Linked DNA regions of Rattus norvegicus. The protein of the gene in region 2 interacts with the protein of the main gene of each other region in a biochemical or structural test. Links are inferred from orthologs where the notes say so. Each region holds a gene or a part of one and is shown on either strand. Other genes may lie near its edges.

Evidence for each region.
Region 1: the proteins of Myo18a (region 2) and Golph3 form a complex in vitro, tested with the Homo sapiens proteins (2 studies listed by IntAct). The link is inferred for Rattus norvegicus from reciprocal best matches to the Homo sapiens genes MYO18A and GOLPH3.

The regions. Positions count from the first base shown.
Region 1 is NC_086020.1:63,088,546-63,092,361, reverse strand, and holds part of Golph3 (Golgi phosphoprotein 3), read right to left. Parts: intron 980-3,816; coding exon 848-979; intron 1-847. UniProt on the Homo sapiens protein: Phosphatidylinositol-4-phosphate-binding protein that links Golgi membranes to the cytoskeleton and may participate in the tensile force required for vesicle budding from the Golgi.
Region 2 is NC_086028.1:63,204,348-63,208,163, reverse strand, and holds part of Myo18a (unconventional myosin-XVIIIa), read right to left. Parts: coding exon of another isoform or gene 3,683-3,816; intron 2,009-3,682; coding exon 1,921-2,008; intron 1,722-1,920; coding exon 1,615-1,721; intron 1,519-1,614; coding exon 1,342-1,518; intron 1,042-1,341; coding exon 828-1,041; intron 609-827; coding exon 466-608; intron 1-465.

The DNA.
Region 1 (3,816 bases), on a different chromosome or scaffold from region 2:
GGCTAGGAAACAAGTCTCTTCTGACCACAACCCAGCAACTACTATTATTTAGGTCATATTATTTCATGCATTATTTCTTTTCACTAACACATTAATGGCTGGCTGGCTGGCTTTCTTATAAAATGATCACTCTGGTTTTATCAGTCGGACAGTATTCAGAATAGGAAATGAGGGCACGGGCTTGTCATCTTAGAGCTCTGGAGGTGCATGTGGGAGGATCTCTAGATCAAGACCAGCATGTGTCAGCCTTGGTTAAAAAGCAAAGACTGTCTTAAAACAAAAAACAAAAGAACAATAAAACTAAACAATAACAAGATATTTGGTTCTGGCCTAATTTTTAGATTTACAAATATAATACAACTACAGAAGAAAAAATGGTTTTGAAATACCATGCCCAAAGCAAAAAACAGACTGGAAGAGAAACTGTGAACCTCTGAGATTAAGTCTGAAGATAAAAATCCAAAAACTATATCCTGTTCTACCACAAAAGTACCCACCTACACCTTCACCATAGGAAGAGGAATAAAAATCAATTCCAGTCTTCCAAAAAGATTAATGTCCTGAGTAATTCAGTTCCACAGGATTCTTTTAAAAGTCATATCAAGGTTTTCAAACTTACGACTTTTTCAGAAGCAAATAAAACTGGGTATCTCCCTAAAGCACAGTGGTCATCAATCCTAACAGTGAGTAGCATCATGTTGCATATGCAAAAAGACAGAAAAACCAAGAATGCAATCCAATAACGACAATTTTAAACTATTTAAATATTGTAAAGCTATTAGAAATATTCATCATTTAAACAGAAAACAATTCTTGTAAAGAGGGTATTATTCAGAAGTCCTCTTACCTTTCTTGTTAAAAGACTTTTTCTTCTCATTCCACAAGCCTCTAACTGTAACCTTCCTCTCAAAGCTAATTCAATTAACATACAGCCACGTAATCCAGATGATATACAGTCATTCCAAAATGATGTGTAACCCTATTTAAAAAGAACAAAGAAAACAAAACAGCTAATTTACCTTGAGTCAAAAGTAAAAATATCTTTAGCCAAAGCCACATATGTCTTCTTATAACAAAATGCTAAGATGCACTGTTAGCATGTTGTTAATCTGGGGTCTGGGGAAGGGTTGTCTTTTTAACCACATTCTTACACATGGATAAACAACGAAGTATAGAAGTCAGGCTGGGTAGGGTAGTACACACCTATAATTCTAGCACTGGGCATATGGAGTCATTCTAATGGCTCAAGAGTTCAAGGTCAGGGCTGGAGAGATGGCTCAGAGATTAAGAGTACTAACTGCCCCTACATAAAACCAGAGTGCCTAGCATCCACATGGTGGCTCAAAACTGTAACTGCAGTTCCCAGAGATCCAATGCCCTCTTCTGGGCTCCTTGGGCACTAGGCAAACACATAGTTCAGACATACATAGAAACAAAACACACATTTATATACACAAAATAAACTAACAATTTTAAATAAATAAAAATTCAGTCCAGGCATGGTGGCTCATACCTCCAGCCTTCAAGACAGCCAGCCTGTACCACATAGGGAAGGCTTCCTGGAATTCACCCAGGTTAAAGTGAGGAGCCCATATTTAAGAGGACGACTGACCACTAGAGCTCATGGACTTCACTAATGATGCAGGAACTTTAGTGCAACTCCCAAGATACCACTTTTTAAAATTATTTATTTTTATTTTATGTGCATTGGTGTTTTGGCTATATATTTACTATATCTCTCTGTGTGTGGAGTTACAGACAGTTGTGAGCTGCCATAATGGGTGCTGGAAATCAAATCCGGGTCCTATGGAAGAGCAGTCAGTGACTTCTCTCTAGTTCAAAATACCACTTTTAATAAGAGCTTTTGGCAGGAGATCATTTAAAGAAAACTAAAGGGAATAAACAAAACTAGTTTTGTCAGGCATGGTTATTAATTTCAGCACCCAGGAGGCAGAGGCAGGTAAATATCTGTGATAGATACACATGGTCTCTACACAGTGAGATCCAGGATAACCAGAAGCACATAACAAAAAGATCCTGTCTAAAAAAAGGTTTCTTTTGGGGCGACCATATGGTGGCTCATAAACATCTATAATGGGTTCTAATGCCCTCTTCTGATGTGTCTGAAGATAGCTACAGTGTACTTATAAAATTTTTAAAAAAGGTTTCTTTTTCATCAAAAAGGCCGATTTCAATGTGAAATCAAGGAAGTAGACTAGTTTTGAGATTTGCTAAAATGAAGATTGTCAGACTAAGCAATGAGTCAGAGGGAATAAGCAACCAGTCATAAAGGGAATTAAGATCTGGAATAATTAAAGATGTGGGAAGCCTGGGAATTGATTCCACATGAAGTTAAGTTACAGCTCTATGTTTCTCAGGGGCCTGAACACACAAATGTGGTTCCAACTCAAAACACCAAAATGTAGACAAAATATACACTTCATAAAGTAAAATGGGTATGGTTAGCCGTACAAGTCTGAAAATCCACCTGGACAGAGTTTAGCAGTTTATCTTTGATGACAGATAGAAGAGGGATTAAATACAAATGTCTCAACTGTTCTCATGTCATGCGTCAACCAGAGATGTGTGGGCAAAACAAGGTCTTTACTACAGAGTTCAGAGTTATATTTAGTGAAAAACTGAGTAACTCACGTGCAAAATAGATGAGGAAAAAAAGATTTAAAAAAATTTGTGCTGGGGCTGGGGGATTTAGCTCAGTGGTAGAGCACTTGCCTAGCATGGCAAGGCCCTGGGTTCGGTCCTCAGCTCCGAAGGGGGATAAAAAAATTTGTGCCACGGTTTCTGGGACTTATGAGAAACAGACAAGATAGATAAAGCAAAGAGACGCAGCAAGCAACAGAGTAGTCCAGTGTTTTGATAACCTCCTAGTAAAATTCATATCATGAGTTTACAAAAGCATGATCAAGAATTATCAGAGAGGGGTTGGGGATTTAGCTCAGTGGTAGAGCGCTTGCCTAGCAAGAGCAAGGCCCTGGCAAGGCCCTGGGTTCGGTCCCCAGCTCCGAAAAAAAAAAAGAGAGAAAAAAAAAAAAGAATTATCAGAGAAAGTTTTTGTTGTTGAGGTTTTGTTTTTAAGCTGAGGAAAACTGACCCAAAAGAACTGGTGTGTGTGTGTGTGTCTGTGTCTGTGTCTGTGTCTGTGTGTGTGTGTGTGTGTGAGAGAGAGAGAGAGAGAGACAGAGAGAGAGAGACAGAGAGAGAGAGAGAGAACTGACCAGATAACAATGCTACAGGGGATTAAGTATCTTAGAGGCAAAGTAGACCAGGACTGTACCAAGTGACTGCGATCAACGTCGGCCAGCCTGGTTCTCCAGTGAATCCATGGCAGAGTATGGTATAAACAAGTTAGCAGGGAAACTGCTGAGTCAGGAGGTAGAGAAAAACTTGGCCTTGTTTCTCTAAAAGAAATTAGTACAAGAGCCTACTAGAGGACTACATACTCACAGCATTTTTATGTGTATCCCAGCAAAAATCTCTCCTATCTAGCAAAGTCAGCCACTTTTAATAAGGTAGTTAAAATCTATGGGAAAGACTAATAAAAACTGGCAGTACCAAGCAGCTACATTTTTAGTTCAAGAGGTAGAACTAACTAGCTGTGTTTGTATACACAGCTCTGAGAGAATAAAAAATAAATAAATACATAAATAATGCATCCAGGTAGTACCCAACTCTTACTACTCCTGGAAGCAAAACAAAGCAAAAGGCTCAGTGGCTACAGATAGTGTCCTTCACCTCACTCATGGCACGGACGACATCCCCAACCTTCAATCAGAAGACCACCTCAGAACAATCTGA
Region 2 (3,816 bases):
AATAACTGACTCCAGCAAGCTGCCCTCTGACCTCCATGCTGTGGCATGCCGGTGTGCGCGCGCACACACACACACACACACACACACACACACACACACACACACACACACACACGAGTAAACAAATAGACATAGATTTTGAAAAAGAAATTTCATTCAGTGTGAAGAGAAAAGTCAGTGTGCCTGGGCCTTACGCTATCATCAAGTGTGGGCTCTCGCCTACAGAAGTCCCAAGGCCCTGGGTCTCAGAGAGTGGGCAGAGCAGGTTGGGGTTCCCAGCAATACAGTGGAGAGGGGAAAAAGAGTCGGACAGGAGACTTGGGGGGGCAGAATGGGGACAGTCTAGGCCAACACTGCCTGTGTCATGAGATTCATTTCATTATCAGAATCCCAAGTCAATGAGGCGCTGGAGAGTAAGACCCAGGGCTCCATCTTTGCTTTCGAGGCCTTGGCAGTGCCCCTTACCTGGACGGAGGCTGAAGCCACCTGGCCAGCTTGGTCAAAGTCCAGGGAGAGGATCTGGGAGAAGCGGGTGGCACTGCCGTTCATGATGGTAGGGCTGTTCCCAAAGGCTTCCAGGAGGGTGGCCAGAGCCTGCCACTTCTCCACTGCAGAGCACAGACCCAGGGGACATCAGGAAAACCAAGAACAGCTTATCCCCAAGGCATGGGCTCCAGAATGCCCCAGAAACAGCTGCCCAGGGATTGGGGTTGAGGAGTTATTCAGGGATAAGGAACCCAGGGGGAAAGAGGCAGCATCTTGGTGGATTGTTCTCCCCCCCCCCCGCCCCCACTTCTCTTGTCTGTTTTCCCTGCTGCCTGCCTCACCTGAGAACACCTTGTTCCCGCTGGTGCCGGCAATGGTAGCCAGATACTGCACCAGATGCTGAGAGCTGGTGGTCTTGCCACTGCCACTACTGCCCAGAAGGACGATGGACTGGTCCTGACGACTCATCAACATGGCCCTATATGCAGTCTGGGCTACAGCATAGATGTGGGGTGCCATGTCCTCCCGCCGACACCCCTTGAACATGTGCATCACCTAGAACAGGAGAGGCATAGAGGGAAGGAAGAGGCTCTTACGGCCGGACCCACCTGCTCTTCTCTAGGGCTTACATGTTTCCGTAATGTCGCTCTAGAGATGCCCAGGTATTTTGAGGGCCAGGCCATGCATGGAAATAGAGTCTGTAACTCTATAAGACTGCAGGATATCCCTCTGGCCCTACCCTTTGACTCCTCTACCGGGGTCAACTATGAACTCAGTGGATATAAAGAGGAAGAGTAGAGAACCAGAAAAGGTAGGATGAGGCAGGTGGGTGGGTGGGTCCAGAGGAAGGCACACCTTCTCTGAATACACAGCAGGAGCCCCTCGGGGGCTAAGGACAAGCAGGCTAGGGCCGGCATAGGTGTGTAGCAGGCTGGCCCCATAGCGCTGGCGCAGTGTATGCAGGACGCTAGACTCGTTGAGGTACACCAAGGAGGCCAGATCTTCTAGTCGGTCACATGAGGGAGCGTTAGCCTGGGAAGACAGACAGTGAAGACACCGATCTCATCTCCAACGCAGGGGACAGGCCTGCCCTCCCTGTGACCTCCCTTGCCAGAAGCTCCTTCCAACCTTCTCTACGTCATCTTCATCCACATCCAGGATGGCTCCATCGTGGTCTAGCTTCACGCGCACCTTCCCCTCGGGTAGGCTGAGCTCCTCCGACTTGAGCTGGCTGGCTGCAGAGCAGGGGTAGTTGGACTTGGGCCTGGGAGGTTCTACTACTCTACTTAGGCCTTCTTGTCCGTCCTGCTTTCTTCCCCACTGGCTCACCAGCCTCTCCTTGCTGCCGACCAGGCCTTACCAGAAGCAGAGGCATTCCCTCATGCCAGTTCTGACTCAAGTCTCACCATCTGTAGCCCATGTTCAAAGACTCACCTAAGGAGAATCCATCTCTATGGACCAGCCACACCTTCTCCGTCTCATACCAGGCCTCTTCAGCGGCAATCTGCTCTTCTGTCTTGGCCTGTCAGAGGGAAGGGAGGGACAAAAGACATTGCTTTAAAAGGTAAGAGACAAGGACAGCAAGAATGAGGAGACAAGGGAGGAAAGGGCTTCAAGTTGAGCCAATGGGCAAGTGGAAAAGTCAGGCAGGAGACACAGGACACGGGAGTGTGAGAGGGGTTAGGAAAGGAGGGTAGGAAGCCAGGAGCGCTGAGAACAAAGACAGTGAGACCAGGGACTGTAACTTTGAGGGTTCACTGTGGCCAGGGGAGAACAGATACCAGGGAAGCGAGTCACCGGGCTCCATCTCCAGCTGCCTCTTTCCTTCCTCCCTGGGAGCCTATGAGATCTGCATCCTGACTCAGCCCTGAACTCTGGCCCCAGTCATGGGTTCTTTTATGCCAAAAGAAAGGGCTCTTCTCCCGAGATGGATTCTGCATTAGGGAACAATAGAGGCCCTGGGCTCTCACCTGAAGACGCTCTATGTTGGCAAGGACATAGTGCCCTTCTCCTCCAAGTCCCCTTTGTGGACTTGGAAGGTTGTAGCTGCACAAGCCTAGTGGGCATATTAGTGTCACATGCGGTCACAGGGTGGCATGGGCACGAGACAGAGCTGACTGGTCAAAGACAGGGAGCACAGAAGTAGGAGTGAAAGGACTGGGAAGCCCCAGAGGTCAGAGATCAAAATAGACATTGATAACAGAGGTCAGAGATCACTGATCAAAACAGGCATTCATAGCAGAGATGTGGGGCTATCAGATCTGACACCCTCTAATAAGAACACCTGAACTAGGGAACAGTGGCACCAGAGGAACTGGGACCAAAAAGGGACCTTGATACAATGGCTGCAAAACGTCAGCAATGTCATGGCACCTTGGGGGAGGCTGGCCACCCCAGAAGCAGACGCCCTCAGGCTTAACACTGACTCCAACACTCTCCCCAGATGGCAACATGCAGATTCTCACCCTAGGTGTGTCCCTTTCTCATGAGACCCCAAACTGAGGCACAGACCCCATCCTATGACACTTAACCCTGGGTGAGGGATCAGAAGATGGCAAGAAACATGAAGGCAGAAATATTGTGTGATCTTTATCACGTTTCTTAGATTGAAAAGGAGGGAGATCAATAGGTTGATCATAACAAAGCTGTCAATGCTTGGTTTGTCTAAGTGAGAAAAATTTTAAATGCTGGGCTTTTAATCTTTTAATATTTAAAGGATTGAACAAGAAGTATTGGTGCAGGCCTTTGATCCCGGCACTCAGGAAACAGACGCAGGCTCTGAGTTCAAGGCCAGCCTGGTCTATATAAAAAGTCCTAGAAGAGCCGGGGTTAGAGAGAGAGACTCGCAAAAACTAAATCACCAGTGTTTTGTCTTTTCCAAATCACGTGTGAACCAAGTGAAACTTGTGTTCTGGTGACATCAAAGGGTCATGGCCTGTCTGAGAACAAGTTTCTCACACTGACCAGGAGGTGGAGACAGAGACCGTCTGTCTCATCTTCAGGCTGGGGCTAAGGGAGGAAGAAAGGTCTTTCTAGTGCTTTCCTCCAGAGAGTGATCAGGGTGGCAACATCTGGGCTCCAGTGGCTGAGAGGCAAAGCTGGGGCCATGAAGTTCCCCAAGGGCCACACCTGCACCATCTCAGCTCCCCTGGGTACCCCAATATAAAGTGGGAACCTAGAGGGAACGAGGCCTTACACTCCAGCAGGAGGCCCGAGCACAGACGCCAGCCCAGGTGTAGGGTGGGGGTGGTGGGTTGTCACTGGAGAAAGCAGAGGGCTCCTGGGTGGGGCAGGAGCACCCTACCTGGCTGTGGGCAGGAGAGGCGGCCA